Arabidopsis thaliana: one gene and its partner. The protein of the gene in region 2 interacts with the protein of the main gene of each other region in a pairwise test. Each region holds a gene or a part of one and is shown on either strand. Other genes may lie near its edges. The genes, in order: AT4G08570 and AT5G49990.

Evidence for each region.
Region 1: the proteins of AT5G49990 (region 2) and AT4G08570 interact in a two-hybrid assay, tested with the Arabidopsis thaliana proteins (one large-scale study listed by BioGRID).

What each region holds. Positions count from the first base shown.
Region 1 is NC_003075.7:5,448,966-5,463,897, forward strand, and holds AT4G08570 (Heavy metal transport/detoxification superfamily protein), read right to left. Parts: upstream 7,136-14,932; 5' UTR 7,011-7,135; coding exon 6,854-7,010; intron 6,454-6,853; coding exon 6,158-6,453; 3' UTR 5,615-6,157; downstream 1-5,614. Other genes in the region: PUM15 (pumilio 15), read left to right, coding at 1,469-1,751, 2,211-2,349, 2,676-2,969, 3,069-3,231, 3,609-3,772, 3,828-4,218; AT4G08580 (microfibrillar-associated protein-like protein), read left to right, coding at 13,225-14,420, 14,642-14,753. UniProt on the Arabidopsis thaliana protein: Heavy-metal-binding protein.
Region 2 is NC_003076.8:20,334,265-20,352,198, forward strand, and holds AT5G49990 (Xanthine/uracil permease family protein), read right to left. Parts: upstream 7,772-17,934; 5' UTR 7,503-7,771; exon of another isoform or gene 7,483-7,502; intron 7,443-7,482; exon of another isoform or gene 6,934-7,442; 5' UTR 6,924-6,933; coding exon 6,827-6,923; intron 6,398-6,826; coding exon 6,300-6,397; intron 6,213-6,299; coding exon 6,036-6,212; intron 5,910-6,035; coding exon 5,809-5,909; intron 5,725-5,808; coding exon 5,649-5,724; intron 5,563-5,648; coding exon 5,503-5,562; intron 5,359-5,502; coding exon 5,174-5,358; intron 5,044-5,173; coding exon 4,947-5,043; intron 4,706-4,946; coding exon 4,619-4,705; intron 4,504-4,618; coding exon 4,445-4,503; intron 4,362-4,444; coding exon 4,270-4,361; intron 4,188-4,269; coding exon 4,110-4,187; intron 3,980-4,109; coding exon 3,600-3,979; 3' UTR 3,322-3,599; downstream 1-3,321. Other genes in the region: AFB5 (auxin F-box protein 5), read right to left, coding at 156-914, 1,077-1,575, 1,666-2,267; AT5G50000 (Protein kinase superfamily protein), read right to left, coding at 8,574-8,780, 8,978-9,112, 9,186-9,360, 9,440-9,636, 9,728-9,849, 10,448-10,769; AT5G50010 (transcription factor bHLH145), read left to right, coding at 15,292-16,227; AT5G50020 (DHHC-type zinc finger family protein), read left to right, coding at 16,946-16,977, 17,269-17,365.

The DNA of each region.
Region 1 (14,932 bases), on a different chromosome or scaffold from region 2:
TGTGTTTTGTATTTAGAATTAGTAAAGTGAATAATAATATGAATTTTTTTAATGATGATATACATATTTTAATGTATTCTATTGTTGTTCTCTTACATATTCATTTTATTTTATATTAAAAAACAATAGAATATTTTTGATGAAATGTTTTATTTATTTATTTACGTATATGTTTTGGAGAAACAATCATGAAAAATTGCTAAAAATGCTGTTTCAAAATTATCTATTTTTAATTATATCCCTTCTTGTTTGTCATTTAATGATTATTTTACCCATATTTTGAAAATATTATACGTTAATAAAATGAAATATTGATTTTCCCGAAAAAAATATTCCAAATAAATTTTTGGAGGGAAAAATAAATTTTGGCGGAAAAAGTGGTATTTTTAAATGGATATCAAACACAAATGATGGATAAAAAAGAGGTATTTTACATGTTCTCATCAGATGATAAGTAATTTGATCATTTTGTTTAAGAAAAGAGATATTTAAAAAATGACCAACAGAAAAGATTATTATTGCGAAAGGGTATTAGAAAACGGTATTTTTACAAACAATCATTACTTTTATGATTTTCCCTTCTATTCATTATATAAATTATAAATATATTAATATTAGTTACTATGTTCACGTTTTTAAATAAATTCATTTACAATTAACTGATTAATAATGAATGAATTTCGTAAATAATTTTAGAACTTTTTCGTTTCCAAATATAAAAAGATATTATCATTTAATTCTCTTTAATTATACTGTAAATTTGTAATAGGGGATATATAATTGATTACGTTTGATCTTCCAGTATTATCGATTGATTATACACAATTGGTTAATAGATTATCATTTGATCTTCGAGCATAATCTTTCCAATATTATCCACAATTGGTTGCTTGATTTTATTTTATTTCTTTCAAAATTCAATTTTTATAGTTATATAGAGATACCTAATTTGATTATTGTAACATATCTTCACATAATCACATATAACTACGAGGGGTGTATTCAAACTAGTATTTTAAGTGATTTCAGTAAAATTTACAAATTTTATGTTATTCAATCATTGATTTTAAAAACTTTTGTAAAATCCAATACTGTTATTGAACTAATGGTTTAAAAATAAATCCACTGTTTAAAACAGTTTGTGAATTTGATTCTTATTAATTTTAAAGGATTTGAGAGGATTTGATAAGACTTTTTTAGTTAAAAATATAGAAATCCAAATCTCATGGTTTTAGATGGAATTTGAAAAGATTTTACAATAAATCACATCAACTTCCCTCAAATCATGAAAATCATATAAAAACTCACTAAAACTCAAATCATTCAAAATGTAAGATATTATGCCATATGTGTTACAACATTGAATCTAATACCGAAGGGAATGTGTGCCAACAATAGTAATACAAATGTGTATATATATACAACACCAAAACCAAAGATCTAAACATCTACCAAAAAGAAAATGAAAATGAAAAACCTATCCATCTTTATGTTTGTGTTTAGCCTTTGCATGTTTGGCCATGTATCGAGAGCAAGAATCAGGATCGCGAACGAGCTCAAATTCAAGAAAAACCTCTGGATGAGGTGTTATTCTAAAGATGATGTATTAGGTCCACATATAATACCAATCGGAGGACATTTTCTAGATTATTTTGGCACTAACTTTTGGGGTACCACCCGTTTTATGTGTACTTTGAGACAAGGTCCTAACTATATACACTATCAAAGCTTTACGGCATTCAAGCTTTTCAGTATGGAGGATCATGGAGGCCTATGGGATTGGAGAGCTAGAGAAGATGGGATCTATTTAAAGAAAGAAGGTAACAAGTTTATTAAAAATCCGGTTAATATGCATAAAGTGTATGATTGGATAAATTAAAATTCTTAACAAGCTATCTAAGAATAATAATTAAAAAAAAAATCTTATGATTTTAAAAAAAAAGCTGTATAAGAAAAAAAATTCTCAAGTTATATTATGATTTGAAAGTAAAAAAGAAATATACATTTATTTTAAAATTAATAAAAGGAAATACTTGTTTTATACGTGTCAAAATCTAAGATCAATAAAATTAACACGTGGTACAATCATATGAGTTCCTAATTTTGAAATTCATACTTTATAAAATAAGATTTACCTTAGCATCTCTAATAATTATCGGAACCTGATCTTTCATTTCTCAACATCTCCTTTTACTAAACGCATCTCCAAGTCGTCGTGGTCCAAGTCTTCTCCAATGAGCAATCAGAACGAAAGAGTGGCGGCCGCACCGTTTCAGGAAGCCGTGGAATCTCCCGCTCAACGGATTTTGTGGGAGCGTCTCAGAACTTACGACCATTCGTTTCCCTTGAGTGATTACTCACCTGAAACCTTATTTTCTTCTGATTTGCAAACCCTAGAACATGAGTTTAGAAGATTTGGTGTCTCCGAACTGGACCGTGGGGATCAAGGTATGACCGATCGTGTGAACTGGTTTCCTTCAGATTCTCAGCAAAACACTGGACGAGAACAGAGGAATCAGTCAGAGATTGAAAGATAATTATGTTAATGGGTATGATGCTCTTAGGTCTTTTCATGAACGTAGTCGTAGTGCTAGTGTCATGGGTTCTCCATACGGAAATTTAGAAGACGTTCCTTATTTACCAAGTAATCCTTTCTTTGACCAAACCCCTTGGAGTGATGATGCATATGGTTATATGTATGGAATCCGCAATACTCTATTATCGCGTGCTAAAGACGGTATAGAGTCTCACATGTTGCAATATGTGATTGCCAAGGGTTTAAAGGAGACAATTGATAAGATATTTGACAATTTGATCTCACATGTATGTGAATTGATGCTTGATTATTATGGCCATAAAGTCTTTCGAAAGCTTATGGAGAAATGCACCGATGAACAGATCACTCGGGTTTTGGATATAGTCCTTGAGGAACCTTTTGAATTTGTTAGGCTTTGTGTCCATACACACGGGTACGCATTATTCTTATGTCCATTTCATTTAGTCTCACTAATACCATTCATGTGACTTGTTTTTTTTTGTTTTTTTCTCTCTTATGTTGGAGATAACAGAACACATGCAATACAAGGTTTGATGCGTAGTCTTTGTTCTGAAGAGCAAATATCTCGGTTCATGGAAACTCTATGCTATGTTTCACTTCTATTGACCAAGGACGTTATTGCTCATCGTGTGATTTTGTTCTGCTTCAATCAATTTTCTCCTTCACATACCAGAGTAAGCATCTTTACTTCTTTGTTCCTCAAACATTATTTTATAGCTAATAGAGATTTTCACCAGAATTCTTATAACCAAGATTGTGAATACTTAAATTTCCAACACATTTTTGGAATTTTAGATGGCCCGATTCGAACTATGAACTTGTTATTTCATCAAATTTGGTTTTAATAATCTCGCGGTTACATAGCTTTCAAAACTTAAATTGTTTTGTGTGTGGGAAAAGTGTAACAAAGGCTTTCGAGCTCTCTTGCTTGTGTTACAAGAAAATGAGTAGTGGTAGACCATAAGTATTAATTTTGTAAACCGGTTTGAACTTGTTAATATATGCTTTTTACTGATCATTTTTCATGTGTGGTCTCTTCTATATTTGACAGTATCTTCTTGAAGTGATTGTTCAAAATTGTTATCAAGTTGCAATAGATCAAAATGGATGTTGTATGCTTAAAAAATTGATTAGACAATCCTCTCGAGAGCTAAGAGACCCTTTGATTAAGGAGATAATCAGTATTGCTGTAAGATTATGCGGGAATTGCTACGGGTAAGATAAGATTCTTTTATGATTTTGCGTTAATCATTGTATAAATCACATTAAGTACTCTTACACCAAAATCTCTATTGGTCAGAAACTACGTGGTGCAATATTTGTTGCGTTTGAAAGATTATGAGGTGACAAGTGCTCTCTCGAAACATCTTGATGGAAATTACGTGCAACTCTCTTATGACAAGTATGGGAGTCACGTGGTGCAGAAGTGTTTGGAAAGTAGAGAATTTTCCTCCAGGAGGATCATAGCGGAGCTGCTAAGTGACATTGATTCACTTCTTGTAGATCCATATGGAGATTATGTGATTCAAACAGCGTGGATTGTATCCGAGGTAAGAGATAAACATGATGATTCGGAGTCGTTTTATGTGGATTTTTACCAACTTATATTGTGGTTGGTGTTTTGTAGGATCATGTGCGACATGTATTGTTGTTCTATATAAACAGAAATGTTCCATTCATGAGGTGCAATGTATATGGGAGAAAATTACTCCAGAAACTCAATATTTGGACATAGAAGAACATCTACAAAGAGAAGAGGAGTCCACAATTGATAAATGGTGTTGGTGTTGGTGTTGGTGTTGTTTTTGTTTTTGTATTTGTTTTTGTGTTTGTGTTTGTGTTTTTATAGTTAATTAGAAAATAGGTAGGCATTTTTTGTTAGATTTATCTTTCATTTTAGGCATTTTCGATACTCTTTGCAATGTAAGAAGACTTTTCTTCACTTTTTTTTATGTTTCATAAAGTTAGGTGTTTTAGAGTTTGCATACATATGTGAAGCAAGTCTTGTGTGGGAAGATTCTCCTTTCATTGTCATGTTCTATAGAGGAATAAACTGTTTTCTTACAAGCTGCACATTTGTCCTGTGTTTGGAATTGAAGTAATTAAATTAGAAAACATTGAAGAATAACAAAAAGAGAAAACAAAGGAACGTTGAAGAATTATGTGCATACTGTTTCATTCGATTTCTCGGTCTTTTCTGCTGTAAAACATCAAGAAGAGAAAGTAGCCAATATTGTTAGCTTTTTCAACAGAAGTTAAAAGAAACAAATCTAAAAAAAACTAAGGAATTTTTTAAAAATTATTTAGCCTTAAAATAGAAGAGGAACAAAATTAACGTGAAGAAAACTTATAATTTTTTTTAATCTTTAATATATTGAAATTAATTAATTTGTTTAGAGAATGTAGGAAATTCAAATACTAAATTAATCAGTTCAAATTTTTGGATATTTTGTAATTTTGTTTCGGTCGAATATAAGATATTACACAAACAACAACTATATAAGTTCCTTTAAATCAGCTCAATCTTTGACTATTTTGAATATTTCATATTTTAATTTTATCAAAACCAACATCTAATATCAGTTCTTATAAATATATTTTTCCATCAAGATTTATCTTCACAAAAAATATTATGAACTAAACACCTTTTTTTCTTAAAAAAACAGTCGTTGGTAGTCAATCATGAGTGAAAGATAATATTCCTCTCTACTTATAAACACAATCTTGGTCTTCTACGTTTAGTTTCGATATTTTGATTCACTTGTATAATTTTGCTTTTGGCTTATTCATTTTACTTTAGTTTATTTGATTGATGTCTCTGTTTTCTTTAATCAGGATCAAACAGAGAAAAAATGGAAGCACCGGAACTCCATCATTAAGTTATAAGGGCCAATCAAAGGGCAAAGCTAAAGCTACTGAGGAACCGAATGTATCATCTTTTTTTATATAAACACATGTCACCATATATTTGTTTAGCTTATATGCTTTAAAATTATCAGTATATAGTGAGTCTTAGATATACCGAACTTTTTCTCCAACTTGTGAACACCGAGCTTAAATCGAAAATCTATTTCATAAGAGTACCCGATAATCCGGTGAAAGCAAAAATTCAGGAATTATTGAAAAATATGTTAAATTTAATTATACATTATCAGACATTTTATCACAATATGTATAAAATGTTTTTCCTTATTTGCCTAAGACCACCAAAAACCTAGGCACGCTCTGCTCATGACTCGTTGACCCGAGAACCAGCTTGGGAAAAAAGCCTCCGCGATTTGACTCGGAGTTTATGGTATCCTTTGAACTGGATCACACCCAAGTTATCCAAAATAAAAAGTGAATATACTCTAAACGAATGAATTATATATCATCCACTCATCAGCAGAATATTTCAAAACATAATTTAGCTATCTATAAAACCTCTTATTTAAATTCCTTATAAGTGTTAAGAAATCTCGATTTTCTCACGTAATAGTTGTAAAGCCAAACCCGTACACCACGACTCTTACGTAGGTACTATTACCAAAACCGATAATATATAATAGTATAATATAATCTATAGCCATATACTTAATTAATTTACAAAAGCACACTCTTCTACATGATAGCGCAAGAATTAGGGTTCTCGTCGCTAAACATAATAGTGTAAGAGTCATCGACGGTGGTCTCGTTGACAGAGGCCGTGTCGGGGACTTTCCGAACCATGTTTGGTGGTGCCTTCTTGTCATACGCCTGAGATATGTACGGATTCGCCACCATTGTGTAAGGAACGTACGGCCATAACTCCACTTTCTTCTTCGTTGACTTGGCAGCCTCCAAAACCTTCTTTGGGTCTATATATCCCGTTACCGTTACCTTCTGCAGCTTTACGTCCACGTCCACTGACTTCACCCCTGTCCAAACGAGTCCAATGCAAATTAAATCCAATTTTCATGTTTTTTTTTGTTAAATGTCACATTTTCTATCGTCCAACGAGTATATAAATTGGTAGTGTTATATATATTCAAAAACACATATTGTAATGCCAATATGTCCACTCGAGATTTAAAATTTAATTATACCCCATTCATATTATTTTTGTACATATATAGAAAAATCTACTTTTTTAAAATAAAAGTTGGCATTTAAAAAATGTTAGATATATCATATATTAATGATTTTCTTTGTCTATGGCTCTATGCTTTAGACGGGGCATGTACAAAAGTAGTGGAATGAATTTGATCCGTGGTTTCGACCAACATGGCAAATCTCTAACCATTATCATGATGGTTGGCTAAAACTGATTTTCTTTACCTTTGACACCGGAGAGGACATGTTTGATCTTACGTTCACAGCCTTCGCAGTCGATACGAGCAACACGGAGAGCTACTGTTTGCATTTGCTTCTTCTTCTTCCTCTTCCTCTTCTTTAAAAGGTCTGATATATACTCCATCGTTCCTTCCACTCCCATTTTCACTCACACCACTTCTCTTTGCAGTTTTTTTTTTTTCCTTGAAGATATTAAGAGGGAAAATATGTTCAAGGAGAGTGAAGATAAAAGTGAGGAAGAAAGGCTCTTTCTTTGTACCATATATGGTGCAGGGATGAGATTACATTTATCTACAGTGAGCGCATTTCATATAGTAAAGGAGATGTGACTCATGTGACAATAGCAGATTATTTGTTTATTTGTTGAGTTGTTTTTCTTTTGCTTAGTAAAAACAAAATAAAATAGGATTACATTATTGCTTCTGAAAGAACAAAACAAAGATCATTAATTGCTTTTGGGGTCTCGTGGAGGGTGCAAGAAACTTCCACCGAGGTGAAATGAAACTTTTGGCATTTAATCCATTATATATAGAGTTAATTTGTAAACTAGTCATTTGTTTAAACTTAATTGGAAAAATAGTCACTTTATTATTTATAATTTGTAAAATAGTCACTTTTCACTGTTTGATTCGTACATTTAGATTGTACACCACTTTTAGTGTACAAATATATATAAAAATATACAGCGTACACTTTACATTTGTACACTAAAAGTGATGTACAATCTAAGTGTACGAATCAAACAGCAAAAAATGACTATTTTACAAATTATGAATAGTAAAATGACTACTTTCCTAATTAAGTATGAAAAAGTGACTATTTTGCCAACACACCCTTATATATAACCCATGCAAGTTTGGGTGGGTAATACGTACGAATACTTTTTCAGTTTTTCTCGTTTTTTTGTTTTTTTGGCCGATCGTTGTTTGTTTATTTCTAAATAAAACAAATAAATAATATATTTATATTATATGAATTTTGATGGAGGTAATCTATATTCCAAATCATAAATATGTTGGAAAGTTTTAAAAAAAAAAGAAATATGTTGGAAAGTTTTAAAAAAAAAAAGAAATATGTTGGAAAGTTTAAGACGTCCATAAAAAACGTTAAAAAAAAAAGAAAAATATTTAACTTGAAATAATTATATAAAATATATGTGACATATTTACCAGTCTTTGCATTTTGGCATTCATAATTTTTTTTTTTGTAAGCGTACCATGTCTCGTTTTTATTATTTAAAATCTACTAATTCAAAAAGTGGGAAATAACAAAAGATAATGAGTATTAGTTTATGACTTATGAGATAGGGAACAGTCAAATGTTTGAAAAATTAAACGCAGACGTAAATAACTGAGGAGTGATTTATCAATTTTGGAGGACACATGGCAGTTAGTAATTGTGTGTCATGTTTCAACGGTAGACATTGATCCAAGTTTTTGATTGGGGTCAGTTGCATTTAAAATTTAAATGAATTGACAATAATATGTAAACAAAAATACAAATGAAAATGACATTCATGTAAACTCCGATTTGTTGCCAAGACATCTGGCTCAAAGTCAAAGTAGAATTGTTGATGCGATGAGAAGTTTTGTTTTCAAAATATGTATTTTAAAGTACCACCTGTTGCTATACAATTCATTGAGATTATATAACACTACTAGTAGAAATAAGCTTACCACAATTCAACATGTAGCGACTATCTGAAGAAAACATCCACTATTACGAAGTGATCTCTCGCATCAATCATTATACCAAATACAATTTATGGTGAATGAATAAAATCATCAGAAACTCTATATGTGTGCACAAAATTGCAACCACATGTTCTATAATAAGGAGCAATATCAGATTTAGTTAGAAGGAGGGGTTGCTTTCAAACTGTTTGTAATTAAGAGGCAGCAACTCTACCACTCAAGTTTTGATATGTCCCATTTCATTACATTATGAATAACTCATCTTGTTGATTGAGTACATGTGTCACCTTTATTTCCGTTAAATTGGAGTAATACATTAGTCAATATATAGTCAGTATCTTATATTCTTACATGGAGCAATATCTACAATTTAAGTAATAAATGAGGGAACCGCGCTCGTCCATAATTGCTTTCGTTGAACACAGCCAAAGATTATAGTATACATTTTGGCTCGATAACTATTTTTAATTATTCATATGGTGGATAGGCATTAACCAATCTATGCTAAATAGGTATTTTACGTTGAAATCACCATGAATCACTTGTGCTTAAGCGCATGATTCCAACTCAAAATTGATACTAACTTTGACTATGTGAAAAAGCTAGTTATTCTCATTCATAAATATTTCAACGTAAATAACCAATTTTGCATGTGTTTATAGTTTCAAAAGTTCTAGTTCACTAGCATCAACGAGGGAAATTTATCATCCATCTGACTAATTTATATTCAACTAATAGTTGCTATTGTTAAGGCCGGAATATGAGATTGTGTTTTAATAGATTTTACTTGGATTACGATCTGATTTAAGCTGAGAATGATATATAAACTATGTAGGATATAGAACAACGCTTATATAATTTTTACAATTATGACGTCGATGAAGTTAGGTTTTAAGAAGTCCATTTACCTTTTATTGATTAAATCAAATATATACATATGTAACGACACAGTTTCTTTGGCACATTCGCTAAGCTTTTTATTTTACTTTTGTAAAAAGCAACTTTTGTCAACTTAAGACAAATTAGTAGGTGACGAAAGATTGTGATTTATATGCATGCGCTCGACTGATATTGTATTGCTTTTTTCATGGTAGATCGAATCTGATTAAGTCCTTTCAATTTTTCCGCAATTCTCAACTACCACTAGACTAGAGTTGTATGGGCCAAAGTTTTCTTCCACTCGGTTAAGGTTCTAAAACTTTCATAACAATGTATCAAAATATTAAAGAATGAAATCATATGTCACAGTTTTATTAACGGACTTGTGGTTTATGTATGATTTCCAATATTTAAAGTTGATGGTTAACTCTCAAATCTTATGACGTCTTTCTAAGCCCAAGTCAACTCTCCTACTAATATGATATTGTCCGTTTTGAGCCAAGTGGCCAAGCCCGCGCGGATTTATTTTTGTCTTCTTTCCAAAAGGTATCACTACTAATTGGAATTAAACATGATTTATATATTAGACTAATATTTTCTAATTTTTTGATGTGAGACGTTGGTTTGTCTCCCAATAATTATCTCCTCAAACCAAACCCCGAACTTTAGGCCCTCCCCTCAAGCAAAACCTTAGCACCAGGCTCTGGCATTCCTTATTTGCAAGGACAACTTGAAGCACTCTTCTTATCGTGTTACATTGAGAACTCTTTCCATACCGAACATGGAGCCCAAACCCACCTCTTTAGGTCCACGTTTTTTTACATAGGCTCTAATATCAATTGTTGGACTCTCCAAGCCCAAATATTTTTCTCTAATATGATATTGTCCGCTTTAAACCAAGAGGCCAAGCCCACACGAATTTGTTTTTGAACTCGTAAACATAAACATGAAAAGAACACTATTTTATATTTAAATTAATTTAATAAATGCTCTTTTCTATAAATGGCTACACATATTTTTTCTCAGAAACTATAAATCAGTATTTCCTCTTACTGATATGAAATAGAATATAATTTATTTCAAAAATATCTAAACATTACTTAATATATACAATTATAGCTAGTTTTCTATATTATTATAATAATATGAAATATAAATAAATCAATTACAACTACAAAAGAATTTAAACATTTCTCAATATATAATAAACAACAATTAAAACTTATTTTACAATATTATTTTGAACCATTCCCGTGTGACTGTCTCTAGTATGATATATCTAAGGTTTTTTAAATCATATGCAACGATTTCAATTATTTTTTTCTAGGCTATATGTATGACTTAATATATTCGCTTAGAACTTCTCTTTTGGTTTTTGTCGTCAACCATTAAAAACATAATTTTATGAACTGAACAAAGTGAACCTTGAATATTTTTTACGGGGTTTATATGCTTAAGCTTCATATTGATTATATAGCAAACGTTGCAAAGGCTGTTTCTATAAACGAAACCCTACATCAAGATGATGAAGTCATCTCTATAACTATACCAATGTGTACGACTTAGAGTTTCGTTTATAGAAGAAGCATGTTCATGTATCGGATCATACATTTCAAAAACACGGTTTGATACGGCAACGACGACGACCTTTGAGGTTGATGAAGAAGAACGTGTCCCAATCGATTCAGGTGACTTTGAGTTTGTCTCCTACATGGACTGAGCTTAATTTTGATAGTTGCACATATTCTTCTTATAAGAACGTTTATGATGTCCTGTAAATCCCTGTTTCATGTGTCTTTTGTGTTTATCAATATGTTTTGTGTGGATTAGTGACTAGTTCTTTTTCTTCACAACGTTTTATATAGTAAGAGTCATGTTTTTCACAATATGGAAGTTAGAGTTGGAGCTTTATATGTGGCAGGAACATCCAGAGTTCTCCTATGTGATCTTTTGTGCTTCACCATCACAAAGCTCTAATACTAAGGTAAACATGTTACATATCTCTGTTTTGTAATGTTTTTTTACTTTAGAAAATCTAGCTAAAGTCAAGTGTTTTGTAATGTTTTTGACATGTTACATATCTCTGTTTTGCAATGTTCAAGTCAAGAGTTTAAGTTTCAGTTCAACTCTTGACAAATGCGACAAGATTTGACATGATATTGTTGGTGTCTCACAGGAAAAGTCACCAAGCAGTCTGTAACTTGAAAAACGAATTTAAAATCAAGAAGCAAGACTCTGAGATCTATGCTGCTAAGGTAAACATGTCACATATATATGTTTTGTACTGTTTTAGAATTTCTGTTTTAAGTACTTTTGACTTAAATGTTTTAAGTACTTCAAGCTAATACATAACGTTTCACAATATTCCTTGAAGCTAACACTTCATAGAAACAAGGTACAACTTCGTCAATCAACCAAACATAAGTTCTTCTGCCTCTAAAGACCGTGGGCCGGTCTGTCTAACTGTTGGGCTTTGCGGGGCGGGTTAGGACTCACTTTTCAAGACCGCGGTCGTCTGCGGTCCGGTTCGTCGCGGATCAATGGAAAAGCGAGCATGTTGCGGTCGGTCCGTTCGGTCGCGGGCACGCCCGTCTACCATCTCTAAAGTTATGTAAACCAAAATTCAATTCTTTTGTTTCACAATTACTACTCAAACTACATTTTTCATAGTTTTTTTTTAATAAAACTCGGTGTTATTAGTTATACTATTTGTAAATATCTTGTAATCTTAAGGTTATGGAACTAATAAAACCTCATATAAATTAATAATCGATAAATTAATACCCGATAAATTAATACATTTTTTCTGTCCTAAATTTTGTTTTTGGATCAATTGATAAATTAAGAAAATACCATAGTCTCATCTATATTAAATTATTAATTTATGGAAATTTTACTGTGTATAGTTTTAGGAAAAATATAAAAATAATAACAATTTTCTTAATTTCACAAAAAATTACTAAAATTCACGTTTAGTTGGAAATTTACGAACCGAAGTATTGGGCCTTAATGGTCTTGGGCCAACATCAATCTCTCGCCGTCAAGGTTACATTTATCGCCGCCGCTGAGACCGCCACCTAAGGGCCGTCTCCTCCGCAATCTCTAACCGAAACTCTCTCATCTCCTGGTAAGCTCGATTTTCTTATCAATTCGATCTCATATGATGTCGATCTGTTTCTACTGAAGCTAAATCTTGCGAAATCGATCTTTGTTTTGTTCTGAGATTTAGGGTTTCACGAATTTGTATTCTAGGGCTTTTCTCGATTAATCATTTCTATTGTTATTTGTTCTTATTGGTTCTTATGCTTTTGGGTACAGAAAGATATCGACTTTTTGTTGACTCTGTATGCAAATTTGTCAAAAGACAAAACTTTGTAACAGTTTACTCTCTTTCGTGCTTGTGTTTATGTATGAACAATAGCTTCGCTATTGGGATTGTTGATTTCACCACACTTGATTAAGTATGTACATACTATTGAAAATGTTATAGTTCGTTAAAATGTGCAATCTTCGAATTTCTCTAGCGTCCATTGTTCATGTTGGTGTGTTTATGTTGATATACTCACCCACACACACATCAATGATATGCATTGTACATAATGCATTTTGTTGTTGTCTCTTTAAGATTTTAGCTATTGAGGATCGATTAGGGGAAGTAGCTCTTTTCCTTTCCTTTTCTGGTGAATACTAATGATGCAAAGCTTGAATCTAATCCCTGTATTATTTTGTGCTGCAGAGACAGATAGCTAATTTGATTGAGTTTGGTTACTTGCAAGTGCAAATATGTCGGTCACAGCGGGAGTGAGTGAATCTGCAATTGCTGTAAGGGAGAAACTAAAAGGTGGTATTGGACAGACTAAAGTAAGAAGGTATTGGCCAGGAAAAGCTCCGGAGTGGGCTGAGGAAGCTGAAGAAGATGATGATGTTAGGATGCAGAAGTTTTCTGTTTTGGATAGAGCTTTTCCAAAGAATGATGATTTGGGTGTTGCTAGGAAGGATGATCCAAGGCTGCGGCGTTTAGCTCAGACTAAAGTTGAAAACCGTGACGAAGTTAGAGCTGATCATCGGCGTATTAGACAGGCTGAGATTATATCTACGGAAGAAGAAGAATCGAGGAATCAAGAGAATAGAGACGAGGATGATGATGAAGATGCCTTGGAAGAAAGAAGAAGAAGAATTAAGGAGAAGAATCTTAGACGAGCACAAGAGGAGGCTGCTTTACTTCCTTTAGAAGAAGAAGATGAGATACAAGAGGAAGAAGAGGAGGAGGAGGAGTCTGAGTACGAGACTGATTCGGAAGATGATATGCCTGGTATTGCCTTGATTAAGCCTGTTTTTGTACCGAAAGCTGAGAGAGATACAATTGCAGAGCGAGAGAGGCTTGAGGCTGAAGAAGAAGCTCTTGAGGAATTAGCAAAGAGAAAATTGGAGCAAAGAAAAATAGAGACAAAGCAAATTGTGGTTGAGGAAGTTAGGAAAGATGAAGAGATACGGAAGAACATACTATTGGAGGAAGCTAATATTGGAGATGTGGAAACTGATGACGAACTCAATGAAGCTGAGGAGTATGAAGTTTGGAAGACACGAGAGATTGGTAGGATCAAGAGAGAAAGAGATGCAAGGGAAGCTATGCTGAGAGAGAGGGAAGAAATAGAGAAGTTGAGGAATATGACAGAGCAGGAGAGGAGAGATTGGGAGAGGAAGAATCCGAAACCTTCTTCAGCTCAACCGAAAAAGAAATGGAACTTTATGCAGAAATATTACCATAAGGGTGCCTTCTTCCAGGCAGATCCTGATGATGAGGCAGGTTCTGCTGGAACCGATGGTATATTTCAGCGCGACTTCTCTGCTCCAACCGGAGAAGATAGGTTGGACAAATCGATTCTCCCCAAAGTTATGCAAGTCAAGCACTTTGGTCGTAGTGGAAGAACTAAATGGACTCACCTTGTCAATGAAGACACAACAGATTGGAGTAACCCGTAAGTTCTTTGCTTTTAGCGTTTCTTTTCTTGCATCTTGGTTAGGCATAAACTTCATAGCTCTCATTTTAGGCTTCTGAAATCTGATTTATTTAGCGTTTGAGTAGAAACAGTAAGCTGGCAACTGAACTAAATTATTGCATGTGAATGTGAACCTGTTTGTGTTGGCATGAGCTGCTGATTTTGATAATAATACTTACATAAAATGAATGAATGTGCAGGTGGACTTCCAATGATCCTCTACGTGAAAAATACAACAAGAAAATGGCAGGCATGGATGCTCCAATCGCAAAACCAAAAGGGAGCAAGAAGATGAAAGATTGGGAGACTTAAACCGCACCAACATTTACTTTGTTTGTTTTTAAAATCCAATGATGCAGCAGTGGTATGTGGTAGTAAAAAAACATCGTAACATCTTACTCAGTTATGTCTCTGAGTCCTCTAAATCCTAGTAATTAAAAATATTGCTCAAAAGAATGAAGACCTAACATAATTCATTATATACTTAAAAA
Region 2 (17,934 bases):
CAATCTTGCATTCCTCCCAAGTCCCAACCACCATCATTCATCATCAACAATCATGTAGTGTGCCTCTGATGCCACCACCATCATCATCTGAGCTTCCTACACTTACCCATTTCATTCCCGTCTTAAAAAACGGAAACACGGAAATGCTCCTCGTTCTATAAAATCGTGACGAACTTTGGTGCATCATTCCTTGGACCATCAAGAGACCGATACATGTATAAAGTCTCGACATAATCCCTATTGTCATCATCATCATCCGATCCAATTACTTCCACAACTAGATTCGGCATTGCTCGTGCAATATCCTTGCAGCATCCCTTAGACAAGCTACATGCTGACATCCAAACAAACCTCATGTTGTAATAGCGATGCATACCAGACCGTAATGCAACATCTCCAAAGGGACTGTCCCTTATCTCAAGTTTCTGCAGTCTAGGGCAACCTTCTAGGACATGTCTCAGAGCCATGTCACTGTCCCCTGCAAAAGCTACTGAAAGCGTACGGACCAATTTCCCATACTCACCCATATACCTAAAAGCTTGATCTGTCAGCAATCCCGACACTGCAAGGCGAGTTAGCTTCTTGCAGTTTTTAACAATGGCACCAAATCCCTCGTCCATAGGCTTTCCTGTTACATGGTCAGGCCTATGTCGACCCATTATGCACAGCCTAAACACAGTAAGCTCTGGACAGTTCTCTGACATGGCTATCACAGCGGCATTAGTCATGCGCTGGCAAAAGTAGAGAATAGATTCTAGTTTCCTACAACCCTCGGAGATTGCTTGGAGGCCTAATTCAGAGACAGGACCTTCACTGTCTTCCCGAGGATCAAAAGGGAAGATCCTGAGTTCACGGAGTTCCTTGCAAGTGGCTGCAACTGCCTGTAGTCCTTCATCACATATTGAATCAAGGGCCTGCATTGTAAAGTTCAAGTCATGCATTTTACTCAAGTTCCTTACACAACTAATATCAAGTTTATTCATTCTATCCATCTAACACAAACAATACGGTCACTAGAGTTAAGTCACATATAACTTAATAAAGCCATGAAGACATAGATCAAGAAGGATACATACCCAGAACACCTGGAGTTTGTGGCAATTGAGTATGATGGGCTTGAACATGTCAGGAGAAATGTTAGCATAACTGAAGTTCAGGGAGGTGAGATTAGCGCACACCGGAAAGATAGCTGGAAGATACTCCGGCATCAACTCTCTAAACCCTGACAAGCAAACTACAGATTTACAAGCACGAAATGCAGCAGCATAATCTGGTTCTTGCTCACTCTGAGGTTCCTCATCATGGCTAAATGAACCAGTCCCAAGACTAGTAAGCTGTGGAGCTCCAAGTAGCAGACGATGTAGCTCCACAAGAGACACAAACCTGTTTAGCCTAAGTTTCTTCAAGAACGGTGACCTAGCAACAAGACCCTCAAGCGCCTTAAAATTGATAGGAGCTTCCACACAGTCAAAAGCTAAAGACTCCAAACAAGTTACATCCTCAGGGAAACAAGAGATCCAATCCACTTCATCATCCGTGACCTCAGACTCAATCAAATCAAGCACTTTCAGCTTTCTGAAAACAAATTAATATCCAATAAGTTCATAACTATCAAAACATTACTCAAAGATAGCATTTTCATATCCAATAAGTTGTAACATTTACCTGCACTTGTTGGCAACAATAGAGATACCACTAGTACCAAAACCTTCACAACAAACCAAGATAAGCTCTTTAAACCCAGGAAAAGAGTCAGCAAGAAGAGCTAAATCATCATCAGTAACAAACATCCTCTTCAAATCAACTTTCTCAAGACAAGGATAAGCTTGAGCCATAGTAGAAACCCAAGGAGCAAAATTAGCACCCCAATCAGGAGGCATGAGATTGAAATCAGCAAACCTAGGTTTCCCTTTCAGCACAAGAGACCTAACACGCTTGAATCTCTGAGTCAACCTCGCCGGAGAAAGAGCGTAACAGTTACCAATAAAAACCTCAGATCGAGTCAAAGCTTCAACACGCCACCAAGATTTGCAAACTAGAGAAGCAGCGTTACGGTCACATCTTGAATCTAGGAACTGAAGAACGTTCTCAAGTACGTTTTCGAGAACATGGTCAGGGAAAGTTTGAGAATTTGAGATACAGTTACGAGATTTGTTTGGTGAAGAGGAAGATGAGCAAGGATCAGCTATGGCGGTAGAGGGTAGATCCAACGGTGGAGATTGTTGGTCATCGTCATCTTCAGACATTTCTGAGCGATCTTGTGTCATAAAGAGAGAGGCTTTGGATTCAGATTAGAGAAGAGGAAGAGGAAGAAGAGGAAGAAGAAGAAGAAGCTTTGGGGTGTGAGAGAGTGGGAGCTTTCTCTCTCCACTTCGTCTCCATTATTTGGGGATTATTTTTTATTTTTAATTTTCTGTTTTGTCTTCTTATATTTATGTACAAAAATAATTAATATTCATGTTTTTTTTTTCTTACTAGAAAGTAAAATGTAACTCTTTTTTTCTGCTTTCTTGTCTCCATCAATGTTTTTACACTTTACAGTTTCGTCCTCTTTATTTTCTTCAGATCTCTATTTTAGCAATGTTTTAATTAGAAAACAATAAAATCAACATTATCCATTTCTATAGTGTAGGACACTTGCCTACCCTTTTTTCGAGATAAGTTGAGAATTTAACCATATTGGTTAGGGTAATTTTTTTTGTCTTAAACCAAATCACTAAGCATAGATAATATGAACAAATTGGTTGGGATCATTTCAAGTAACCTCCTACGAATTATATGTATAGACCCGCATAAATGATTTCGAACTAGTGCACTTTTTTGGATTCTAACATTTTTGATCCGTAGATTATTATTAAGTAACTCACAATAGTTTATAACTTCTTATACCTTAACCTAAGGTGGTAAGTGGTAACCGATTTAGCTAATGACGTCTTTAAATTTTATCAGTCAAAAATGTATTTATATATGTGCCACAAACAAGCACATATTATTCTACCAATCAAACAAAACAAATACAGTATAACACAACTAAATACAAAACCCATTCATCATTGAGGCTCTGTTTTTTGTGTGCAAATACTCATCGTTGTGGCTAACCATCTGTTTTAGACTTTTAGTTATCGTTAACTTCCTATCAACTAGTTATATGCAACCAAAGAAGTGTTTAAATGGACGACAGAGAATGAAGCACATGAACCCCTACTTATCTTCAAAAGTATATCATAAGAGTTTCAACGTCAAATCTAGCATTACAAATTTTTGTAGGAAATTTTTTTTGTTATAGAATTAGAATCGAAAAGCCTCCAAAACTCACAAAATTTTCTCTTTTAATCATTTGTATTAAAACAGAGCATACATACTCTAGTTCTAAATTTGGCAAAACGAGTATCATCTTTAATGCAAAACATCTAAACATAGAAGAAACATCACATTAATATTTCTAAAATGTTACTTAACACTTTGGGTTATAATATCTAGTTGCGTTTTATAGTCTCCTCACCGAATATGCACATAAAACCTAGCTAGATAAGGTGTGTCCTCCTAAGGGACACAAAACTAGCAAAACAGCATTCCATAAAGTTTGGAAGGATTTTTTTTCAGACAGAAGGGAAATATTTGTTGAGGTTGAACGGAAGAGCATAGAACTCTTCTGTTCTCGGGTCGTTCTTGAAAGTCCAGAATCTGTCCCACCAGTGTTTACCTCGGTCTTTCCTGATCGAACCATCTTTCTTGTGAAGCGTCGTGTCCAACAAGTAAGCCACACATCCTCCCACAAAGGCCTTGGACGAGAAGGGCACATTGACCATGTCGTTGAACCATCTTGCCCCGGTATGAACTGGACCATAGCCTTTGATGGCTGTGTGCTCGTTGAAATATTGTGGAATTGATAGGCCTAGGAAGATTGAGAAGCCCAGTATGAATAATGTCCTGAAGCTATTCAGGTTGCAGAATTGCAGCAAACTCAGTCCTCCAGCACCTATACAACAGTTTTTGTATTAAAGATGCTCATAGCTAAAACAAGTCTCTAGCTCTATATGTTGGTAAGCAAACCAATCTGAACCAAATTGCTTCAATCTAAACCAAGCTAAAAAAGAAACAATACTTACCTACATACGCAAAGAAGAGACAGTACAAGGCAGCTATGATAGGAGAAGGTATGGATGCAAATACTGCCCCGAACTTCCCTGCATTAGTTTTATTTAAGACGATTACTTAACGTAGTCCACTTCAATTCTTAATGAATTTTTGTGAGAGAGACAAGCTTACCAAGAATTGAGAAGAATATCATAAAGCCTGCAGATATTTGAACAACTCTCCTGCTACCAATTTTTGTTAGTGCCAGCAGACCCGCATTCTCGCTGCATTCATGTGAAAACAAACTCACCACACCATTCAAAATCAGCTCATGTCCTAGATTTGGGAAAAGGATAGGAGGTCTTACACAGAAACTGAAGACCCTATACCAGTTCCGAACAACCCTGAGATTAAAATTGCAACTCCCTAAACCAGAAGAGAACATAGTTGAGGCACAACGTTAGATAAATGGCCACTTGCTTGCCCCGAGAAAACCTCGAGATGGTATTTGTAAAATGAAGCTTATGAAGTGAGTATTTACCTGCCAACCAACCCCGCGGCTGATAACAGAAGGTGGCGGCATTGTGGCACTAGCATATCTTGAGACGGCAATAAAAGCACCTGTGGACTGTTTTTTGTTGACAAACAAGTCAACATAATGAGTAAGCAAGATGAGATTAAACCAAAGAGCAAGAAAATTCGAAAGAATGAAGAGAGAGTCTCATTGACTTTAAAAGTTAATGAGTATGCAACCTATGAAATTCATCTATTAAGGACAGCCTTTCTATATAAATGGATATGAAAATCTATGCATATCATAAATAATTGTCTAATGTCATTTAAAAAAGGTGAAGATGAGTGAAACAAACCTCAACAAGAGCAACAAAAGAAGCCATCATCATGGCAAATGCTTCACCAGCATCAAACAATGGTGCTCCCCATTGGAAAGGCCACGGAACTCTTATCCTGCACAATTAATAAGCGTAAAATGCTAAGCCACACTTGTATTCACTGACAGGTCATTAAAGAAAATACTTTTTTGCTAACATAACTCAGCGAGACATTCAATGTTCAAGCCTTGTTCTGAAATTCTTACCATGGAGCAGCACTTATAAGCCCAGCGCGATCAGTCCGACAGCTTCTTTGAGTATCTGTCCCAACACCATTATAGGCACCACCAAGTGTAAGAAAGAAAGCATAAAGCCATACTATCGCCACAGAAAATATGACAGCAAAGCGAGCAAACACATGTTTTCCTCCTTTTATAACATGGGGCATGTACTACAAAACCAGCAAAAAGTATGACCCAGATGATTAGAAACATCAACATACTGGAAGAACACATCCGGATCAATAACTTATGCAATGAGAACAGATGAGCCGGCTGCAAATTGCTACCAGTTATGAATCTTTACCTACAATTACCTGTGATATTAGTATGAGAATAATAAGCCCAGGCAGTCCAATCTCAATACACTTAGCAACCTGGCCAAAATAACAAAGAATCAAGATTCCACTAGGTTGATATAATTTAGTTTATCTGTTCCCATTTACAGAACAAAGAGACTTACACCGGGAAAACCTAACTCGTACAGGCCATAACCAACTAATCCAACCAAAGGAGCAGCAGATAGTGGACTTAAGAACCTGGACGAACAGAAGTTCAATATCATATTCTTTAACCTGACACAGTGGAACAAGATTTGAGTCTAATGTAGCTCAAAGACTGACCTTACAACATTACGCCAAAGGCCACTGAAGCCAAGGATAATTTGAAGAGTTGAAGCAACAATAAGAGCACCTTGGGTTGCCCGAATTATCCTCTTAAATCGCTGATAAGGTATCAAAAAGGTAATTTAGAGTAAAACTTCATATTCAAGCATAACTTTATTGATAGTGATAGTACACTAAATAGATAATAACACAATTCAATTAGGGGATAAGTGTGAGCTACGAACCTCAACTGGATCTGCAACGTCATTGAATCTCCCAGAAAGCATGATTGAGATAGTAACCGGGACAAATGTATAAGATGCTCCAATAACAGCAGGTAATCTAGTTCCAAACACAGTTTGGAGCAGTGTGTTCAATCCAGCTACAAACAATATTGTCTGGATCAGCTTTGCCTTCTCTTCCTGCCAAAATCATAAACTTTAAGTACAATGAAAGACTGAAAAGAATAATGTGAACAACTATCTTTCTAGAAAAGAGACTTAACTTACATTTCTACCTCCCATTTGTGGAACAAGAGCCGATGGAATCAGAACTGTTGTTCCAAGCATCACAAGGTAGTGTTGAAACCCAAGCAGAACAGCCTCAGCTGTAAGACAAGAATAAACTCAGTCTCACATTTACTAATTAAGAAGCTTAAAACCTCATATTCAAACAAGAATTATTCAAAAACCAACTACCAAATTAGAAACATACAGTAACACTAAAAATAAAAGTTAGATTGAACATATAGCAAAACCAAGGGGTGGATTAAGTTTAATTTCCTTTGTTAGCAAAGAATGATCCTCAAAACACCTAGTAGGAGATTCTCAAGGTAAAAACGAATATTTCTTAAAGAGAAAAGTAAGAATCCAATCCTCACGTTGCAACAAAAAGCAAAAAGTAAATGATACCAAAATCAGAAAAAGTAAAAATGGAAGAAGCTAATCAATCACAAGGCTTCAAAACCAGGGATATGCCTAGAACAAAAGCTAGAAGTCAAACGTTAAGGGAAAAGGAAAAGAAGAGAGAAACTAACGCCATGGAGGAGGACTTGTAATGCAGTAAGAGATATCTGGAAGCTGTTCTTTCGGCGGATGTGGTAGTGGATCACCACCCGATTTCGGAGCTGACATTCTTCAACCTCTGCAACAAAAAAATAAAAATCAAAACTTTAAACCAAAAACTTCACATAACGAGAAAGTGACTGAAACCCAAATCACAGAAGAAGCAAAACTCACGAAATTTGAGCTCAAGAAGCAGAAAACAAGAAAAAGACCTCGTTTTGAGCTAACCCACAGTTGCAAAAACAATAAAAACCAAAACTCTACACCAAAAACTTCACTAACCCGAAAAGTGACTGAAACCCAAATCACAGAAGAATCAAAAGCTACGAAATTTGAGCTCAATAAGTAGAAAACATAAAAACAGAGGTAAAGACCTCGTTTTGAGCTAAACCCACAGTTGTAACTTTACACCAAAAAAACTTCAATAAACCGCAAAGTTACTGAAACCCAAATCACGAAAGCAGCAAAAGTCACGAACTTTAAGCTCAAAAAGCTCGTAAATGAAGAAAGAAGGCGAAACAGAACAAAAACCCAACAAAAAGACCTCGTTTTTAAAGCTAAAATCAAGAGCAGAGTTTTAAAAATGATTCTGTTTAAGTAAGAAGAGCAGAGAGGAGAGATTATACACAGATTAGAAGAAATAGAAACCTTGTGAAGAAGCAGCAGCAGAAGAAAATTGGAGAGTAAACTAGAAGAAGAAGCAGTGAAGAGAAGAGGCTTGATGAGGAAGGAGCAGAGGGGACAGTTGTCTACGTTTCGCTATATCAGCGTTACTTTGTGCACCGATTGACGTCACCACGAAAACAACCTCTTACCTGTCATTACTCTTAATTCATTTGTCATTAGTAGTTCCCCAACGCTTTTTTCTTATTACTAAATTTTTGACAATGAAGACAATACTTATTTATTTGTTTGGTAATGAATGAATGATATAGATATAGTTTCATTGTGGTGTCGCCAACTGCTATTATTATTTATAATCAGTGTTCTTAAACACACTATACAATTTGGCACTAAACACTAGACTTCTAAGAAACATTATTAGCACAAGCTTCTAGTCTCAATAATACGTTATTGTTAACTTGTGTTATTGTTAATGAGGCGTTAGACCCATAGTTATACAAAGAGAGAAGATAACCTAAGGTTACAAAAAGACCATAATGGGGCAAAGAAATGTTGACTAAGCTAAGATTAGACCATAATGGGGCAAAGAAATGTGGACTAAGCTAAGATTAGTAGCTATTGACTAGATCTACTCTATTAAACCAAAAGACAATACTGAAGTAGCAATAATATCTTCAACAAAGTTGTTTCTCGACTATGCATTCCAACCTAATGGTCCTTCTATGGGAAGTGAGGTTTATCATAGCTGAACATTGGACTATATATATCAAATAGGATGTTCCTGTCGAGTGTAGTTGGTTAACCCATAAAGACAAAAAGAACAGTTGTACCATTGACTAGCTATATCAAATATATGATTAGAGATGATGATATACGTGACCATAAATATTTAATAAGCAACTCTCACAAATAGAGCAAAACAAGAAATGTTGAAGAATATGGAAACCAAATCATACTCTTTACGTAAATTTTAGCAACCATTAGATCCCTAACAAGCCTTCCCATTTTTTTTCCTTCTGGATTATAAAAAGAAAAAGAAAAGAAGCAAGGACACGAATCTTGAGTTTTGAATGATCTTAGATTGGTCTTTGGGAATTAAGGACCACGTTTCCTTCGGAAGCATAGGCAACCCTGTTGCTGGTCGTTAGGAATCATCCCTCCTCCCTTGGTTGTGTCAATACTCTCCAACATTGGTACAACCTCATCCATCTCCGGTCTCTTGTCCGGATTTGCATCCCAACATCGCTTCATCACAGCTGCAAGTGCGCTCGGGCAACACCTCGGTATATCGGGTCTCAGGTTCTGCATTGATCATATGTAGCAGCATATTGCATATAGATTTTTTACTTCAGTGAAATGATGAAATGGTTACACTACTCTAGATCACATTTTTTACTTCAGTGATTCCTCAAGATTTACAACAAAATATAATTGTGAAACAACCAATATGCACATTTCAATTAAATTAACTTTTCTTTGCTTAATCTATTCAACCATACCTGGCGGACGACGGCTGAAGTGACCTCAGAGAAAGTAAGGTCAGGGTATGGCATGTCACAGCAATATATCTCCCATAAGCAGATCCCGAAACTGTATACATCGCATTTTCGATTATACGGGTTTCCATTGAGAACCTGCAGCCAAAGTTTATTTGTTATAAAAAGTTGGTTTGTTACCAATCTTGATGATGCATTATCACTATAGTACCTCAGGCGCCATGTAGCCAAGTGTGCCAGTCTCTCCTGTCATGTCATTAGGGTTAGATGCTTCAACTCTCGCAACTCCAAAATCTGCGATTTTAACAGTCCGGGTTTTGTCTAACAACATATTCTCTGTCTTTACATCTCGGTGAACAATCTTCTGCGAATGAAGGTAACTCAACCTAAAAGCAACATAACAATAACCATTAGAGCAGATAAACGACTTGAGAAGGCAGCGAAAGAAGGGAGAATATAATGTACCCTCTAGCGAGATCAAGAGCGAGCTGAACAACAATTTTAAATGTTAGTTTTCTTCTTCTGTTCTTGATCAGGTAAGATTTTAAAGCACCACCTGGAAGATATTCAACAACAACACAACATATATTGTTTGGCATAGCTAATGGACCACTCTCTGTTTGCAACTGTAACCCTGATGCACCCATTGTTGCTCCTATAAACTGCAAAATATACATTCATTGATGACCCAAATCTTATTTATATCCTCAATATATAACAATGGTAAAAAGTAAACAGAAGTGAAATATGAACCTTGGTGACATTAGGATGATCCAATTTATGCCAAACAGCAACCTCCTGAGCAAAATCAGCTCTCAAAGACACAATCTCAGCTTCTGATCTATGACCTTCTTCACCCCAATCAAGCAACTTCACTGCTCAATTTCACCACAATGATTAGCTCATTTCTTCACTTTAAATTTAATAACAGTAAAAAAGCTCTTTAGTTACTGCATTCAAGGGATCTATTATTCACTCTTTTTTTCTTTAAAATTTATTTCATGAAAAAGAGAGATTGAGACAACAACAGCTGGAATCACATGAAAGATCCACAAAGCAAAAGAATCATAATTATCCAAGTAGAGACCTTTCAAGTAGCTGAAGAAACACTTATGATAGCAAAACCCGTGTCGGCTTCACGGAGATCACAAGATTTGCTTCTACCCTCTAAAGAAAAAAACTCTTCAAATCCAAAACAATTCAGCAACTTTAATCTTAAAAATCCAAACTTTTTTTCAATCTAACAAGTTTCATGGTCAAAAAACACGAACACAGAACTAAACTATTCAAGTACAAAGCCTGTTTCGGATCCGACATTTCAAGTACAAATGTAGTAATCCATTCTTAAATTCGAGACTTTAAACTAAACTTGAAGACTTTAGCATTATTTCACAGTTACAAACTAATAATATAAAATGAAAGGGAAAGGTTTCGATGAGAGAAGGAAGCTAGAACGACGGGAAAGTGACTAACCGGCAACATCTTGACCGTCGTAGATACCACGATGAACGGTACCAAAAGTGCCACGAGCAAGAACAGTCTTGATGATAAGTTTAGAAGGATCGATCTCCCACTCAAGTCTCTGTTTCCTCTTGCCAACAAATCCGCCGCCGTTTAGAGTGACAGGGGAAGAAGAAGCAGAGCCACCGATGGCGACGGCGGTTGTGTCTTCTTCATCTTTCTTCTTGTTCTTCTCTAAAGTCAAAGCTCTGCTTAAGTGTCTCTCTAGTTGCTCGTCTAAGCTTTTTAGATCAATCTGATCTGCTCGAACAAACCCATCCTTTCCTTCTTTCATTGTCAAGCAAAAGATCCTATGAATCTTTTTTTGGTCTTCTATAAGTTGTTGTTGATTTTGTTTCAACAAGTTTCTTCTCTCTCTCTCTCAGATAATCAAACGCAGAGGAAAATGGGAAAAGAAAATCATAAAAAGGGAAGATGAGAAGAGAAGAGAAGACCGCATGTGAGTGAGCACATGGTCTTGCCTCGACGCTAATGTATCTGTATTTACATTTCTTTTTTTCCTTTCATAAAATAAATACTTTTTTGTTTTGTATTTCCAAAAACAATAATCATCACTTATTATCAAAATAAGTGTTGGTACCAACCATTTTATTGACGAGAATAGTGAGTGCAAAAGTTTGGCCCATTACTCTGGATGTTCGGCCCATCAAAGATTTGAGCTCCCTCGTAAACCTAAATACAAAAATATTAGTATGTGAATTTCGACATCTACATTTTTGACGTCGTATGTGGAGTTTATCATACTTCTGATTTTGGTCTTTCCAACTTGGTTTCACATACTATGGATAAACTACTAATATAAATTGATGTTACGAAGTTAAAAGATATTAGGAAGAACTAAGCCGATCTTTCTCATCTTGATTTGATATTGACATGAAGATATCGGTTGTGGCATGTCTAAACAATTGGACATGCTTGTTACAACTCAGTGTGTGTTTGAAGTACGCTTTGATGCTATGAACTCGACCAACTCCCGAGTTATACTATGTAAAATATTGTTCTATTGTCAGCATATAGAGTATAATGATAAGTGGATCCAATCATGTCTCTTGACTTTTTTATTTTTTATAAATTGAACCAAATCTATTTTCACATACGCTTACACGTATGGGATACATATGATAATCAATTGATTTGAAGATTGAGGAATGGAACTTAGAGTGGTGGTTAAGTGTATTGGTTGCTTTAAATTGCACGAAGCGTGGATGATTTTGTTGGCGTATCCACGTACCAAATGGCTCCATGCATTGTCTGTTGTCCCTACCAAAACCTTCACTATTCTTCTTGAGATCAATATTAAATATATATATTCTCTCAAATAAAGCATATACACAATGGTGCTCTTCTTCTTTTCTCTTTTTTTTTTTATTTTAAATGTATTGTATAATCGCATGTTCGTTACATATTAACCAAATCAAATTAAAAGGTCAAATATAAAACAAAAGCTAGAATTTCTATGCCGAAAATATGGGAAATGAATACCTTTTGAAATTTGGGAGTGGCCATTAGAAGCTCCTCAATTTTATTTTATTTTCGCCTTTAAGGTGTACAAATTTCTTTTTAATTTAAAATTTAAAAATAATTAACATGATCAGCTCTTCCTCAACTATAACTCTAATTCCGTGTACTTAAATAGTTAAATTATACTATAAACCCACTTAGTTGCTTTATCTAAGAATTAAAGAATGTGAACTCATCTCCCATGCGTGTTTTCCTTTACTCAGAAGGAAATTAAATTTCAATATTCTCTGAAACCCATTACAAAACACGGTCATGCTAGAAGACTTGAAGTCGTGATATGTAGCATTTTTAATGCGTTTTGTGAATATATGTAAACTATATAGATGTTATATAAGTACTCTCGGTCCAACATTTTGGAGCACATTATACTATGATCTTGATATTCAGCCAGTTTATTATGTCATATTTTTCGAGAACATTTGTTGAATTGAAGAACATAAAAGATAGCAAATCAACATCTCATATATGTGTCTTTATCAAAAAAAAACATCTCATATATGTGTATTTTTTTTAACCACGCAAAATGAGAAGAGTGTTATTTTATGTGTATAAAAATGGTGGACCTAGGATATGATGATTGCTTTAGAGACACACAGAAAGAGAGAAACGGTGGAGGGTTTGTTTTGGGCCCCTGACACCATTAAAGCCAGTAAGGATTAAGTGTATCCACTTTTAATTAATCCTAATTTATATACTATACGGATTAGTAATATTATCCTAATGGTTTTTGTATAACTTAAATATTTGGCGTGGTAATATTAAATGTTACTCTGCTTGTATGATTGTGAGCAACCAGATCTCTCTTATCTGTACATCAAAGATTTGGTTCAGGTTACTAAATCATGGGTCTTCTACATCTATCACTATTGAATATAGTTTCAGATGTCTTTGATTGTCAATGAAAAATATCTTGGGTATAATTATTACTAGTCAGTGCCATTTTCTGACAAGAGAGAACGTGTCTGTTTCTTCTGGGGGATTAATTAGGTTTAGATAATTTTGGTATCAAGTTTTATGATTGATAATATACGATTAAGTCATTGGCTAACTAGCTAAAAAAACTTTTTTTGGCTAACTTGGTAATTTTTGGTGATGCAGGTTGTTCATTTGGGTTTCTGTATAGAAATTATCTCCTTTTTTGTCCTTCGAAACTTATCTTACAGTATCTAATATTGAATTTATATTTTCATAATATAAATTATTGTGGATTGGTCATAAATTATGATCTCAATAATAATGTTCTTATGTTATCATTATTTGTTTGTATTTTTATAAGTCAGTGAGTATGACTTGTACCGTTCCTACTTCTATAGTGAAAACGGAAGTCTTATAATGATAATGAAGCTTGTTTTTTTTTCTTAACACTTTAGTATATATAGAAAAATATACATATTTTGGAAGAGATTATAATAAAGAAAAGATGAAGAGCAATCAATTGTCTTGTAGGATTTTCCTTTCTTCTTGTTATATTTATCGTCACATATTTCATCGTTTTTTCACTATAAGTGCAATAGATACATTTTCCACGAAAGTGTTTTGGAGATCCATATGAAAATAGACCAACCAGAATGGGAAGACAAAACATAATGTGAAACCCAAAGAAGATGGAAATGGAGGGTGCAAAAAGGTAAAAAGTAAAAGTAGAAATGATTTGGGGTTTGAACGGTCAAGCCATTGCAAACGAGAGTATTTGAGAAATGATTGGACCTTCTTCTTCTTCACATTGGATACTTTCACTACTTTTCTTACTGACGATGAACGAAAGTACGAAACCAACAAAATACATAAGCGAGCGTCTTATAAAACATGATTGCATGAAGTAAGTATACTTTGGCTTCAAATGGATTTTTTTTTTTGTATAGCTTCATTGATGATCATTTTTATATTATGTGAATGATATTTGTGTTTCGGTGGAATTGAAAGATACTAGATTCCGTTAGCTGAATTTGTTTACATGTGATGAAAAGTGAAAGTCGACTGATTCTTCTTTCCAACCAAAACAAGCTATTTGGCATAATTTATTTTTCCACCAAATGGGCAAATGTATATCTTTTAGCCAAATATAAATAAGCCGAAAAAGCATGTTAACAACAATATGGATTATGAGTATATCTTACTAATTAGTAATTACATCGAGAAAAATAAACAACTATTTAGATTTTGAACCCACCAAATTCAGCTAATTTTCCCAAAAACATTTGTTATCGGATTTGGTAAACACTGTGGCATCACGATACCTAAACTTTAACGCACGCACGCATCTCTGTTATGATGAAGGTCACTTTCGTCTTTTTCTCTTGTATATATCTTCTTCCTCGCTAACTTCTCTTCGCCATCACTGAAACTAATATCTCTCTGCTTCCTCCTTAGAACTTCTATTTGCTTCTCTTGCATTCCACTTTTGTGAGTTTCTATTATCTTCAGTTTTCGAGATAGAACTTATAAACTCTGTAATAATATGCATTGTGCATATTTTTCTAGGTTAAGTTATTTGTTTTAAAGTGTTCTGTTTCTTGCTAGCACTAAATCTATTGCTCTCGTTTATTTTGCAGATTCATTTGAAGTAGTGAGATTGACTCCAGAGATAAAACAAGAAAGAGCAACAAAGCAACAGCATGCGGTGGTGGTTGTGTCTTTCTGCTTATGTTTTTCGTACAGTAGTAGTCTTCTGTCGTGTGATTCTGTAAACTGCGATCTTACTTCAGACATAGCTTTTTTATGTAATGGGGTCGTCTTTTTTCTTCACATTCCCTTACTTTGTCCGCCAAATTATTTAAGACTTCGTTTGGATACTCTGTTTTGGGAGAAGGAATCAGTTGGGGAGAAAGTAGTTATGGTTTGTCAATCAGCGGGACAGACAAGATTTCGTACACTCAAACACGAACACGGTATCACAGGAAACATTGTAGTTAGAGTCATTGCATGCTTTCAACCTCTCCAAGATTGCCAGGTTATTTTCTTGTTTGATGAGTTTATGTTATTGCAATATATTTAGATTTTTAAACCACCAGAACTTTTTTTTATTGATTTCGTTTTAGCTTTGATGTTGTGTATTTTGCAGGCTGAATATTTCCGTCAATTGTTGAAGCCCGTCACGTAGAGTAGCTCGATACTTATCGTTCTTGTTTCAAGCCTAGTTTCTTCTATCCATTTAGTTGGTAAGTTCCAGTCTTTGCACACATAATCTTTTGACCTCCCATTCTTGATTATAAGTAGCTGATTTGTTTGAGATGATGATGTCCTCTGTTTTGGATAGTTGATTTGTTTAGTGTTGGATGGGACAAGATCGTGGGTTTGGGTTTCCTACTCAGCGCTTGTGTTCCTTGTCTTCCCTAGCTCTGTCTCATCTCGGGAAGCAAGACTTGAATTTAGTATCTAAAACCTGCGGCGACACCACCGACATGTTTTCTACTCGTGGATCTTATCAAGTTTCTACCCAAGTCTCTCAATCCTATTTTGATGGGTATTGTGGATGGGTTCATGGGTCATCCCACCTACAGCAGCAGTTCTTGCCTCCTCAAAACCAATGTATGAAGCAAGTACCTCTTCAAGTAGACGGTGTTATATCTAAAGCTGAGGAACAATGTAGTCAGAAGAGGTTCCTAGTGTTTGATCAGTCTGGAGATCAGACGACTTTGCTACTCGCTTCCGATATACGGAAATCTTTTGAGACCCTAAAACAGCATGCCTGTCCTGATATGAAGGAAGAGCTCCAAAGAAGCAACAAAGATTTGTTTGTTTGTCACGGAATGCAAGGAAATAGCGAACCGGATTTGAAGGAGGATTCGGAAGAACTAAATGCATTGCTTTACTCTGAAGATGAGAGTGGTTATTGCTCTGAAGAAGATGAGGTTACAAGCGCAGACCATTCCCCAAGCATTGTAGTATCAGGCCGTGAGGACCAAAAAACATTTCTTGGAAGCTATGGACAACCATTAAATGCTAAAAAGAGAAAGATACTCGAAACCTCGAATGAGAGTATGCGGGACGCTGAATCGAGCTGTGGTAGTTGTGACAACACAAGGATTAGTTTTCTGAAACGTTCTAAGCTGTCTAGTAACAAGATAGGAGAAGAGAAGATATTTGAGACTGTAAGCCTCTTGCGCAGTGTAGTCCCCGGGGAGGAACTGGTGGACCCGATCTTAGTCATCGATAGAGCCATTGATTACCTTAAATCATTGAAGATGGAAGCGAAAAATCGAGAAGCATGAGGTTCTTTGTTTGTAGGATACCTAAGACATATTAGCATTGGCAAGTGGACTTGGTTTCTAAACAAAGTAGTAGACATATTGGACCGTGGTACTCTTGTCAAGCTACAAAGGGATCAGGTTGTTGCTAGTTGGAAGATAAACCAAATAATGTTTCGGAGTTGCAAGAGAAGGAATTGATATTAAAATGCAAATTGAATATTTCATATTAGTTGATGATTAAGATGGATTGCGAAATTTTAATTTCAGTCGTTTAGCTGTTTGTTATATCATGTAGTTGCTTCTTCTTTTTCTATAAGATTTTGTCGGTGTGGTTGTTATTGTTCATCTGTGAGTCGTGTGGCCGAGAGAATCATAAATGGGAAAGTTGAATAACCATTTTCAATGATAGGCCAATTATAATGGTAAACACACAATTAATTTAACTTTTTTACAAATGATTAAAGATGTTTGTTTTCGTGCCAAACAGACATGTGATTTGGTGGGATATTTGGCAGTCTTTTGTCAATATGGTAGCAATTTTTGCCTATTGTTTCATGATTAAGACTCTTATCACTTGTCATTTCCTGACTTTTGTGCATAGAACTAGTGACATGTGATATACTGTAGTCCCATCCAGTTTATAAGTTTTGAATACATGTCTCTAGCCATTCAGAATAAATCTTGCAGCTAAATGTTTTAGAAACCGGACCAGATACCGGTTCATCCCAATTTCAGCCACATGAACGATTCTTGGTCTGCAGGACCGGACCGGTCCGGTTTTTAAAACATTACAAAAATAATTTTATATGCGTAATAAAAAAATGAAGGAACAAAACTGTAATGTTCGTCTCGGGAGACACAATCCAGAAACGAAACGCCTTTTGTGAGAGAGAGAAGAGAAGAGAAGAGAAGAGAAGAGAAGAGAAGAGATCGCACCACACAAAAACTACAATTTTGTTTTGGAAATTACTCTCACCCACCTGAATTTTGTTGCTAGAGAGACAACACTTAGGTTTTGGGCGGAGTTCTGATGTGAAATGAATCGGCGTAGAAAATTTTCAGGATCCTCCAATTCGTCAGAGAGTGTAGCGAGGAGTGTCTGATCCGTTCGCTGATTCTAATGGCTGGACGGGTCTTCGAAGCCTGGAAGGGAAGTAATGTAAGCTTTTCTTTTTCTTTCTTAAGGCGTCTCGATTTCGCTTTACTCTTTTCCCTTTTCTGGAATCTACATTTAGGTTTTCTTAAAGGCGACATTTTTATGACTTCACTGTCCTAGTTTTAAGAAAAATAATTGCAGAGAAGAATGTTCTGAGTGGATTTGTTGTTTTGATGAGAACAATGTGGACATTTTTGAGGGAAATTGTACTTTTGTGTGAAGAAATTAGTATCATCATATTCAATTAGATTACATTGGTGAGCTTTATTGGATTCGACTGTATATGTTGAATTTGGTGGCTTTAAATTTCGAATCTTTTTCAACTCTATCACTGTTGATAGTGTCATTTATTGTTATCATTGCGAAGATCTAAGTTTGAACATATATACCGTATTTGTTAGATTTGGTTTGGTTCCATGCTGATGCATCACCATATTTACAACATTGATGAGCTTTCTATTCACTATTGGTTCACTCTCCAAGCATGAACTTGCATTTTTGGTGAACTCTATCAGTCTATTGTCAGATTTTGTTCAATGGAACCCATTACCACTTGTGAATGTAGCTTTTGA